2 linked regions of the Caenorhabditis elegans genome follow. The protein of the gene in region 1 purifies or fractionates together with the protein of each later gene. This does not show direct contact. Each region holds a gene or a part of one and is shown in the gene's direction. Other genes may lie near its edges.

Region 1 (7,697 bases):
CAATAAATTAACTGATTTTTCCTTTTGCATTTGACCTTGATAATCAAAATATGTTTTCCATGCTCCTTGGCTAATTTCTAATTTTAGTTGTTCTTATTGTTCCTAAAATTTTAATTTAATATTTCTCGACTTATTAGTGATAGCATAATTTTGAGATAACAATTGTTCAGATTCCAAAAACAGCTATGGCTGTTTCCTTTATCGATATGTGTTTGGAAATTTGAAAAAGCACAACCGTATTAGTATGACCGCTCCGTACACATAATCTAACTATGAATCAAACTGAATGGTTCCGATACACTTGAATATTTTGTCCTTCTTATTGAAACTACTACTTCATCCCTAACTTCCATTTGTAAAAATTTCTGAAGGATATCTTCTCGCCCGCTCGCACGTTTCTGTTTTCACATTATCCAATGTCTCTCAATTATTGTTATATTTTTTGTCTTTGGAATACGTTGCTTCCCCTTCTATCAGAGTGCCTCTCTGTCTTGTGACTCAAAAAGGCTCTCTGCAAACACACACACACACACACAGGTTGGCTATCCCCTACTTCCCACGAATGCAGTTGCTAGGCGATTTTTAGACAGGACGACGCCTTCCAAATATACTCACAACCTATTGTGTGAGTAAATCTCTTCATCACGACTCGGTTTCCAGAGCGTCGCGCAGCTGGGCACCGGGCTCTGTCTTCTTTGTCTATAAACCGTGGTCTCTTATCTGATGTGATATTTTCTCACAGTGAAAAATCAATCGGCATCAGTGGAGACTCTGCTTTGTGATTTCAAAATTCGACGCGTCTGACCGCCAACAAGCAGATGGGTGAAGATGTACTTCGTATGCAAATATTTGGAGTGGAAGAAAAAAGGAAAAAAAAAGAGTGTGTAAAAATTATAGGTGAAAAGTAGGCTCCAAGTTGCAATCAGCCATTGGGGGTAGTTGAACAGAAATGTACAAGAAGAAACCAACAAAGATGACAATTCAAGTATCTCATATCAATGCTTGGATGTATAAAAATTAGTTTTGGTAATTTTCCCAAAAAGCCTGAAAAGTATGAGTATCCTAATACCAGATTCAAAAAAGCGAAGGAGAACAACATGAGGTGCGATTGGATTCTACTAAACAGGGTATACAAGATTGGTTTGAAGAGTCATCTTAATTCTACAGAGAAGGTAACCAGCAAAACAAAATCTTCTTCCATTAAGTTTTCTATGATAAACAGTGTATTCGTAGATTCGCACTTCCACATAATCGTTGATAACATTGTCAAAATCATCCATAAACTGAGTGACGCCCACGCAGCTAGACAGGTCTGAGGAGAAAACTGATAATCATTTTCTGACACAAACCAACATTCTCCGGGTCCTTGTTTCTGAATATTGCCAATAAATCTGGAAAGTCACCACTATTACTTTCCTCTTTTGTTTGTATGTTTCGGATTAGCGGCTACAGGTCAGCCAATAAACTAATGCGACATGATGTACGCCTTTATTCCAATTACTTGTGGGAAAGTCTGCTGACAATAAATACACTTTTCACACATCCGAAAGTTGGCTGTTAGTATCTTACACTATTTTTTTCCGATTCATATCACATGCTCATTACAAATGTCTACCTATTATTATCTTTTTTCCAACATTGTAAGCCGTACTTCCCTCCCTTCTCTTACCAGTATCTACATTCGAAACACGATTGAACTAGTGCTGCGCACTCAGCTATCACTTCTTCTTCCCCACGCACATTGTTGCCAGGCAGTTTTGTGAGCTCTTGTTTCTTTTTTTGTTCTGCTCAAAAGCTTATCATTGACGTTTATGAGTAAATTTATGAATTTCAACTTTCAGGAAGTCAACATGGATAGAGAGAATACTGAGAAACTGTGTAGACGGTTCTCCATTCTTAATGAATTTCAAAATAAGCAGCCCGCTCAATATGCTTTTCAAAAACTCAAGAATGCGTTCCCAGATCTTCAAATTGAAGAAGTCGAATATTGGTACAAACAAGGAACCCGTGGATTCGAGGAGGTGTTTCGAAACACTTGGTATGGTATTTTTTGATTTTTATGAACTTTAGAAGTAGTTTTAGAACGCCAAACCGTGTGCTGCCATTTGGCATATGATAAAGGCTAAGGCATATGCTTTGGCTTAGACTTTAGCATAGGCGTAGGCTTAGGCTTAAACGTTTGCTTAGGCTTAAGCTCAGGCTTAGGCTCAGGCTTTGTCCTAGGCTTAGGCTTAGGCTTAAACTTCGGCTTAGGCTAAAGTTCAGCTTTGGCTTAGGCTTAGGCTCAAACATTGGCTTGGCGTCAGTGGCGAGCGCACGCTATGAAGGCTTAGGATTTTCCGGTTTTTTTTTTTGATTTTTGAGGCGGTTCCTGTTGGCCGATTAAGCTTAGGCTGAGGCTTAGGCTTAGGCTTAAGCTCAGGCTCAAGCTTAGTTTCTTCCCAAAAAAAGTTTCTTTCCGAAAGGGTTTGTTTACAAGGGGTCTCACCACAAACGGAAAGCAAAAATTAGCAAAACAAAGCGAAAATTTCGGAAACATTGAGGTTTACGCCAGAATTGTTTTCTGTGACGTCCCAGATAATGACGTTGAAGGTAATGACCAAGCTAGTGATGACATTTGTCTAGGAACTCATTTTTTTGCGTTCTGGGTCAGTTTCCAAATTATTTTTGCTTGTTTTTTTCATTACGTTTAATCATGAAAACGCTGAATTTTTAGTTGAGATGAATTACACTGTAATTGACACTTTTGTGCAACTTTGAAAAAAAAGGTAATTTAGATGTCCTAGTCTTCATCCTTCAAAATTTTGTAACCCAATTCATTTTCAGTCTCGACAGTAGCTCACTGTTCCCAGAACCGAAAGAACATCACATACACAGGAGAATGCCCGAAAATTTTAAGTAAGTGAATGACGATTCAGAACAACTTTATCTACATAAAATTTCAGTTATGTACTTCCACTAAAAATTGAGAAAATCAGTTTGTGTTTGGGTCGCAATTTCGTAGAAATCAATGTGAGCAGAGATGGAAGTTATGAAACAAAGGAATTTATGGCTTTTTATCATGTAGACGCCAAGAAATGCAAAATTCAAAAACAAGGAGAACCTTTCCAGAAATTATCTGCAAAAAATTACGTAGACGCGGCTTTGGACATCTTTCAAGAAATATGTGATGCACCAAAATTGGAAGTTAATGCTCTACGTGTTGAAGTAGCTGAACAGAATCTGCCAGAGACAACAAGATCCGCTTTCTTCGAGAAACTCCAAAAAATGCTCTGGGCCATGTATCCATTCAATTTGGAACTGAGACAATTGAAAATGGTGGAAATTGAAGAAAAGGAAATTATGTTGATTTTGCCATACATAGATCCAAACGAAGAATTTGAACTGTCTATCATTGTGAAAAAACATGAACGGAAGATGGATATGAGAAGAATTATGAACACTGTTCATTGGGGAAACAAATCTAGTCTAAAAACGAAAGGAGTTCTTATAACGTGCCCAATAACTCATTTCTATAATTGTGCAAAAGTTGATGCCACAGTTTTTGCTTTAACACCACAGGAAATTACAGATTATGTCAAGGTATGTTTATTTATTTTTTAAATACACCAGCCGTTCGCACGCGCTGAAGCGCGTGCTCCGACTGGCGTACTCAAAATTAAAATCAAATTCTGAAATTTCTAAGCATTTCACTGCAGATGGAACGTTTTTTTCCTTGTTTTCCGGAAGTTTTCGAGCAACATAAATATTATATACTTAATTTTAAGCAATTACAATTTTAAAACCTCAAGTTTCCTGGAACTTTTATGAGACTTTTTCAGGTCCTTTCCGAAAGTTTTTGGCGAGCGTTTTTGGAAATTATCTATAACAAATTCTGGTTTTTTTTTTAATTCTTAAAACTTCAGAATATTCTAGGAGTATCAAAACTTGAAAGATTCTAGCACTTCGCAGAAGTTTCTTGAATTTTTTCAGGGAATTGAACATTCCAGACTTTTCTCGAATTTTCTAGAAAATTCTGGAACATTCGAGAATTTTCCCGATTTTTCTAGAAAGTTCTGGAACATTCCAGAATTTTTTTTCAGAAATTTTGAATTCCCGCCAAAATTTTTCAAAGAAATTTTGAATTCCCGCCAAAATTTTTCACAGAAAATTTGAATTCCCGCCAAAATTTTTCACAGAAAATTTGAATTCCCGCCAAAATTTTTCACAGAAAACTTGAATTCCCGTTATAATTTTTCACAGAAAATTTGAATTCCCGCCAAAATTTTTCATAGAAATTTTGAATTCCCGCCAAAATTTTTCACAGAAATTTTGAATTCCCGCCAAAATTTTTCACAGAAAATTTGAATTCCCGCCAAAATTTTTCACAGAAATTTTGAATTCCCGCCAAAATTTTTCACAGAAATTTTGAATTCCCGCCAAAATTTTTCACAGAAAATTTGAATTCCCGCTAAAAATTTTCACAGAAATTTTGAATTCCCGCCAAAATTTTTCACAGAAAATTTGAATTCCCGCCAAAATTTTTCACAGAAAATTTGAATTTCCCACCAAAAAGTTTTTCTCAGTAAATTTGAATTTCCCGCCAAAAATTTTTCTCAGAAAATTTGAATTTCCCGCCAAAATTTTTTATCAGAAAATTTGAATTTCCCGCCAAAACTTATGGGTCTCGCCAAGATGGGTCTCACCACGAAGGGTCTCACCACGAAGGGTCTCACCACGAATTTTCTCGAATTTTCCAGAAGGTTCTGGAACATTCCAGCATTTTCTCAAGTTTTCCAGAAGGTTCTGGAACATTCCAGAATTTTCTCGAATTTTCCAGAAGGTTCTGGAACATTCCAGAATTTTCTCAAATTTTCCAGAAGGTTCTGGAACATTCCAGCATTTTCTCAAATTTTCCAGAAGGTTCTGGAGCATTCCGGAATTTTCTCAAAGTTTCCAATATCCGTTCAATAGACGAAAAGTCAATTTTTCCCAAACTACAGTAATCCTACAGTACTCCTACAGTACCTCTACAGTACAACTACAGTACCCCAACCATATCCCGACACTAACCCCAAAGCAATATCACTTCAAAAAACGAAAAGCCAATTTTTTTCAAAAATACAGTAATCCTACAGTACTCCTACAGTATTACTACAGTACTACTACAGTACCCCGACCATATCCCACCACTAACCTCAAACCAATATCACTTCAAAAGACAAAAAGTCAATTTTTCCAAAACTACAGTAACCCTACAGTAACCCTACAGTACCCCTACAGTACTACTACAGTATCCCGACCATATCCCACCACTAACCCCAACCCACAATCCCTTCAACAGCCGGAAACACCTTGCAGGTGTGACGTCACAGACTACAAACTACAATTGTAACATCCCTCATGTATTTTTTTATATATAAGTAATGATAATGAGGGGTGAATATCATAAGTGAGGATTAAGTCAAAATGCACTGACCAACACGACCCATTATAATTTTAAAAAAAACACTCCAAAAATGTTTAGAGTAGGGCTCCCAGCTGAGCGAGGCGCGAAATGGGGGCCTCACGCCGACGCCGTGCGCCGCTGTGTGTGTGCAATAAAGCGCGACAGGTATTTGTTAGGAGCGGCCGACACGTTCGGGGTGCCGCAGCTTGGCGTGAAACGAGAAGCTTGATGTGTGCGCAACGTAGTGCAAAAAAGAGTTATTTGGAAGCGGCCGGGGTTCCGCGTCGCACTATACATTTGGATACAGGCGACGTGAGTGACGCCGTGAGGCCGGCGCGGCGATCTTATGGCAACCTTGTTTGAAGCAGTAAAACTGAAAAAAAATTGAGAAGTTGCACCCTTTTGTCTTCAAATAAAAATCTCATCAAATGCTTCAATCTGTTTCTCATTAAATTACCTAACTATTCAGAAGTTGCTCTACATGGAGACTACTATAACCTCCATCAGTCAAGACTGGAAATCCAAAATCAAGTTTGAAGGGGACACAGCTCTACACATTTTGGAATCGAACAAGTTTTGCCAACGACTTAATTCAAATACATACAGATGCATGGCAAATGACCGATGTGTTTTTGTTACATTCTGCCACCAGGGCGTCAAAATTGCATCACGGCGCTAATAATTCTCATACAGCGCTTTATGGGACTCAGTTTCTATCAACATTTTTCCAGACTTTAATTCACCTTCTCTAACTTTTAAATTATGCGATTATTTCGTATTTTTGAAGCATTTTTTGGTTGTTTTGCTCTTTTGAATTATTTGAAATTTAGTCTTGCTCATTTTCAACTGCAAAACCAATAGTCTCTATGCTCTTCAAAAGTTTTGCACTGTGTTGCAATAATATATTGGAAAGCCATTGTTTCTTTATTTATAGAAGGAGGATTTTTGCAAAACTCAGAAACCAGAATGTAGTTTAATCTTAATCGCAAAAAAATTTAGTTAAATGTTTTTATTTTGAATTCAAAAATAATGAATAACACAGATTCGCTGAAAACTCTTTTGATTTTTTTAAACTATAAAATTTTTCATAACTTTTTTATTTTTGAATGGCTTTACACTAATTGAGAATTTATCATTTTTCGTTTCTGGTTATTTTCCAACCATCTAGTCAAAAAGTATTGGAAAACGCAGAATTTTCCACAAAAAAAACTATTGTGATGTTTGGAAGCAGGGTGCCAGAAAACCTATTATCCTAAGCTTTTCTGAGTTTATCATAAAATTTAAAACACCCGACTAATAACTCAAAAAAAAAGCTGCGCGTGTGTGCTATAAGACCCCTGAAAAACCGTAAAAAATGCAAAAAAAAACAAAAAACTCACTAATATATTTTGACAACAAACATTTTAATTTCAAACGAAAAAATCCTCTCCCCGATCTCAATCTTATCGACCTGAATAATTCGTACTCCTTCAATTGATTTTTTGATCAAGCTACTCCATTCACTACACTCCTTTCCTGAGAAGTCAATTATTGCAAATTCGACTTTAATTGTTTCACAAATATTTATCCAACCACTCTTCATCAACTCTACCCAATCTGAAAGAATTGTTGTTTGTCATTCGATTATTTATCTTTACAAATTCCAATAAATCAGAGAGAAAAACATTTATTATTCATTAAAAAACATCTATAAACAAAAAAGGCGTTTATTTTTTAGAATTGCCTTTGCAACAACATAAGGTCATAGATAACACAATTCCAAGGAGTTGAACAATGCAAAGAACCACACAAACTCCTACTATCAAGCTCAATGAGCTGCTCACGCTTTCGTACACGGCATCGGCGCATCCCTGTAAAAGTTTTGAACTTGATTGTATTTATTTGAAAGTTAGATTAACAAAACTAATTAATAAATCACTGAATATTTACATTGTTTTTATCAATATATTTTTGAAAATCTCACCCGTGTATTGATAAATTGAGCATAAGTGTTGAGCGGAGCTTGGCTGAATGATCTTCCACAGTTATTTGGGTAGGAAAGCTTTCCATGCTCATTACAGCAAGATGATGGGACTCGACCTGAAATATTGTGATTTTTTCGTAAAGTTAGCTAGCTACAAAATTTATATACTTTTTCGAATGTCTATGAAATCATTGTATGTAGGAAAACTTTTAAGATTATCTTACTCAGCTTTTTGCGTTTATTACCACGTCACATTCCCCTCTTTCAACTCACCATATCCAGTGCCTTTGTTCCCGCCGAACGCGC
Region 2 (4,993 bases), on another chromosome or scaffold:
AAAATTCGATTTAAAAAATGTGATTTTCTTTCAATTTTTTTTTTGGAAATCGGACTTTTAATGTAAACTTTTGGTGAATAATTGTAATTTCAAAAAAAAAAACGCAGAGTTCGGAGAAAAAGTTTACTTAAAAAATTTTATTTTCTATTTCAGCAGCTATTCAGCATTTTTTTTTTTCAAAAAAAAAATTACGGAGATAAAATTATTCGGCTTTTATAATTTTATTACTCAATCCCGAAATTTCACGATTTTTGCGCCCGGGTCTCGACACGACAAATTGTTGTTGAATGCGAAAAGGTGTGCGCCTTTAAAGAGTACTGTAGTTTCAAACGGAATTTTTTATCGATTTTGCGCATAGATTTTCACACGATTTGTTAAAATTTAAGCGGTTTATTTCAGTTTTTCTAATAAAAAGCATATTTTTTAACGAAAAACTGAAAAAAATTGGATGAAATTTGAGAAATTTTCATCCATTTTTTTCAGTTTTTCGTTAAACAAAAAAACTGAAATAAACCGCTTAAGTTTTAACAAATCGTGTGAAATTCTATGCGCAAAATCGATTAAAAAAATCCGTTTGAAACTACAGTACTCTTTAAAGGCGCACACTTTTTCGCATTCAACAACAATTTGTCGTATCGAGACCCGGTACCGTATTCTTTGAAAAGCTTGGCTCAAATAATTTTAAATCCGTAATTTTTTTTCAGTAAATTTTTTCTCCGATTTCTGAGTTTTTTTTTTCGTTGAAAATTACAATTTTTCACTAAAAATTAGCATTAAAAGTTCGATTTCCAGGAAATTTTGTACAATTTTTTCTTCAAAAAAGTTTTTTTTTTCCAGAAGCCGCCAAAGTCCGTGTCGAATATAATGGGTGCAAAATCGATTCAATGATGTTGGCTGATCGAATCAATGAGAAATATTTGGAGAAAAATGCCTATAATCGAGTGGATCTTTCATATATTTTTGCGCCAATGATGAAAATTCAATGAATTTATTTTCTTTTTTTTTTGAAAATTTCCCCCCAGTTTTGCGATTTTCCCGTCTTTTTTATGTCGAAATTTCTAATTTCCTAATTTTTTTCACAAGTCATTTCCTCCTCCTCCATTTTTCCATTTTCTCCTAATTTTCAGTGAAAAATTCTTTATTTTTCCCCAAAAAAATATTCCCGAAAATACTCAAATCATATCTGATAAACAATCGAATCCTGTGTTAATTCTCCCTTTTTTCACTGAATTTTTGGAGTTTTTCCATCTCTGAAAAAATTATTTCAATTTATTATAGTATTTGTGTCGACTTACGGGGAGAATTTGAACATTTTCGCTATTTTCAAATTTTCTATGCAAAGTAATTTATTTTATTGTAAAATTAAAATTTTTGAGCAAAAAATAACACTTCTCCTCGAGGAGTACACGAAGGCTGCTGCGTAAATCGACACAGGGGTTGTCGATTTACGAGGGATAATGTTTCGGAAACTGAAATTTTAGCCAAAAAAAAAGTCGAGATTTTGCAAAAAAATTGAACTCAAACTTGTCCACGTGTAGTTCAAAATCCGTCGTAAATCGACACATGCATAAAAACCGTGTGTCTATTTACGCAGCTGGTGTACTCCTCGAGGAGAAGTTTTTTTTTTTTAATTTTTCAGTCACGAGCTCCGTAAATCGACAAAATATGATATTTTTTTCTCGAAAAATTTGAAAAAAAAAACTTTCGAAATTTTCAAAACTTGAAAAATGTCAAATTTCAAAGTTTTTGAGAACAAAAATATTTTAATAAATATTTTTAAATTCAAAAAAAATTAATTTTTCGATTTTTTCAGTCAAAATTTGAATTTTTTTTCGAGAAAAGTTTGAAAAAAATCAATTTTTTTCCAGATGGACGAAACCCGCTTCGAGGATGACGATTTCGAGGGTTCAACGGCCAATAAAAAGTACACATTCTTCATAATTGACGGAAATCCGGCAATGTTCGAAACGTCGAAAGCCGGTGAGCCGCCAGAGTTCAAGCTTGCTCTGAAGCTCATTCTCGACGAAATAGTCCGTGTTTGCTGCTCGCGGAGCCTTAACAATCATATCGGAGTGATTGTCACTAGTACTGTACGAGTTTTTTCTGAAGAATTTCTGAAAATTTAATAATTTTTTAATTACAGAAAAACTCGGAGACCGAGGGACTCGAAAATAGCACTCTGCTTGTGCCGATGGGTGTTCTTGGACAGGAAGAAGTGAATAAGATTAAGGAAATTGCGGAGGAAGGTGCGGAAATCGCGGACAATTTCTGACATTTTCGTGGTTTTTTTTCTCGGCATTCGTCGTCTTTTGGCGACTTGGCACAATTTTCGCAGTGAATTAGGCAAACTTCTAATTTTTCAAAATCTCGACAAATTGGCAATTTCCAGTTAAATTTCGAGTAAAATCTACAATTTCAGAATATTATACGCAATCTGGCAATTTTTTGGCAAAAAATTGATTGTTCTTTTGACTTTTGGCAGAATTTCGGTAGATCACCACTTTTTTGAAAATTCGAACGATTTTTTTCCGGCAAATAGACAAATTGTCGGAATTGAAAATTTCTGGCAAATTGCCAAATTGCCGGACATGACAATTTCTGGCAAATTGCCAGAATTAAAAGTTTCTGGCAAATTGCCAGAATTGATTGAAAATTTACGGCAAATTGCCAAATTGCCGGAATTGAAAGTTTCCGGCAAACCGGCAAGTTGCCGGAAACTTTCATTTTTGGCAATTCGGCAACTTGCTGGAAATTAAATTTTCCGGCAATTCGGCAAACCGGCAAATTGTTGGAAATTAAAGTTTCCGGCAAATCGGCAAAATGCCGGAATTGAAAATTTCCGGCAAACCGGAAAATTGTCGGAAATTAAAGTTTCCGTCAACTCGGCAATCCGGCAAGTTGCCAGAAATGAAAATATCCGTCAATTCGGCAAACCGGCAACTTGCTAGAAATCAAAATTTCCGGCAAATTGCTGAAAATGAAATTTTCCGGCAAATCGGCAAGTTGCTAGAAATTAAAATTTGCGGCAATTCGGCAAACCGGCAAGTTGCCGGAAACGAAAATTTCCGTCACGGCAAACCGGCAAATTGCCAGAATTGAAAATTTACGGCAAAACTGCAAACCGGCAAGTTGCCAGAAATGAAAATTTCCGTCAATTCGGCAAACCGGCAAATTGCCAGAAATGAAAGTTCTCGTCAAAACGGCAAACCGGCAAGTTCCCATAAATGAAAATATACGGTAATTCGGTAAATCGGCAAATTGTCGGAATTTAGTTTCCGGTAAATCTGCAACTTGCCGGAATAAAAAATTTCCGGCAACAATTCGGCAAACCGGCACATTGTCGGAAATTAAAGTTTCCGGCAAACCGGCATTTCCGACAATTTGCCGAATTTGCCAAACGGCAATTGCCGTCCACCACTGCTTTCGACAAAACAATTTCCGGTATTTTTTTTTCAAGAAATTGGCAATTTTCGACGCCAGAACTTAGCTTTTCATAAAGAGCGGCCTGAAATCGTGTAGGCCACGCCGCCTAGAAAATTGGCAAAACAATATTTCATAATAACCTAATTTATTTTCAAAAAAAAAAAAGGTTTTTTTGTGAGATCTCTTCAATTTTCAATTTCTCATCCATCACCACCACCACCACCACCTCAATTCGGTTTCCTCATTCCGGCCTTTATCTCCCGCATCAATTCATCTTGCCACATGGAATGAGTCTCCTCAATTGTCTGAATACTTATCGCCAACTCACGCATCCGATCACAAGCCACCTCAAACTCACGAGTGGCATCATCAAACCGAGTCCGATTGACGTCAGTGTCGTTGCTGGCGTACTTGTTCGCAGCACTATCCATATCGAGACGTGTCTTATTCAAATTGGCAATTGTATTTGTGTGAAGCTTACTCTCGTTCTGTGTGAACGCCTTGTACCGCTCACAAATCGCCAGCACCTTATCCATCGACTCGACTTCTGCCTCCATCCGCGTGTCGACACAATTGATGAACGGTTGCACGTTGATACGATCTCCGAGCAGAGCATAGTTCTCCAGTGGGCCTGAAAAGTTGGCTTTCACTTGCCAATTTGCCACGTCGTTCAGATTTGCCATGTGCTTGTAGAGATCCTGGACGCGGGGCTTCAGAGATTTGAAGTAGATCAACGCCTCGTCGATTTCGGCGGGAAGCACTGTCGCCTTGCTTCTGCCCGTCTTTTCTTTCACTTTTTGCTTTAGTCGACTGAACATTGTTGAACAACTCACGCACACACCACCGAGTCGAAATTTAGGAATAAATTGAATTTTGAATTTTGTCCGCGGCGTTTTTTTTTTTTGCTGTTGGAATTTTGAAATTTCCAACGTGGAATTTTGGGATTTTCACGGAAAAAAATTTGATATTTGAGTTTTGTTCAAGTTTGAAAAAGTTAGAAAAGTTTCAATTCCGGCGATTTGCCGGTTTATCGGAAATTTGCAATTCCGGCAATTTGCCGGTTTTGTCGATATGCCGGAAATTTTCATTTCCGCCAATTTGCCGATTTGCCGGAAATTTTCTACTCCGGCAATTTGCCGGAAATGTTCAATTCCGCCCATTTGCCGGTTTGCCGGAAGTTTTTAATTCTGGCAATTTGCTGGTTTTCCGTAAATTTTCCGATTTGCCGGAAATTTTCTATTCCGGCAATTCGCTGGTTTGCCAAAAATTTTCAATTCCGCCAATTTGCCGATTTGCCGGAAGTTTTCAATTCCGACAATTTTCCGATTTGGCTGTAGATTCCATTTCGGCAATTTGCCGGTTTGCCGAAACTTTCAGTTCCGGCAATTTGCCGATTTGCCGGAAATTTTCTACTCCGGCAATTTGCCGGAAATGTTCAATTCCGGCAATTTGCCGGTTTGCCGGCAGTTTTCAATTCCGGAAATTTGCCGATTTATCGGAATTTTTAATTCCGCCCATTTGCCGGTTTGCCGGAAGTTTTTAATTCCGGCAAGTTGCCGAATTGCCGGAA

What was found.
Region 2: the proteins of F33C8.2 (region 1) and cku-70 fractionate together in Caenorhabditis elegans (co-fractionation; one large-scale study listed by BioGRID). This does not show direct contact.

Annotation. Positions count from the first base shown.
Region 1 is NC_003284.9:14,719,548-14,727,244, forward strand, and holds F33C8.2 (DUF38 domain-containing protein), read left to right. Parts: upstream 1-1,850; coding exon 1,851-2,038; intron 2,039-2,826; coding exon 2,827-2,898; intron 2,899-2,945; coding exon 2,946-3,582; intron 3,583-5,897; coding exon 5,898-6,107; 3' UTR 6,108-7,093; downstream 7,094-7,697. Other genes in the region: tsp-8 (Tetraspanin), read right to left, coding at 7,135-7,278, 7,392-7,507, 7,665-7,697.
Region 2 is NC_003281.10:11,152,959-11,157,951, forward strand, and holds the start of cku-70 (Ku domain-containing protein), read left to right. Parts: upstream 1-1,868; coding exon 1,869-2,090; intron 2,091-2,143; coding exon 2,144-2,246; intron 2,247-3,650; coding exon of another isoform or gene 3,651-4,241; intron 4,242-4,993. Other genes in the region: pola-1 (DNA polymerase), read left to right, coding at 838-986; Y47D3A.31 (BAR domain-containing protein), read right to left, coding at 3,651-4,241.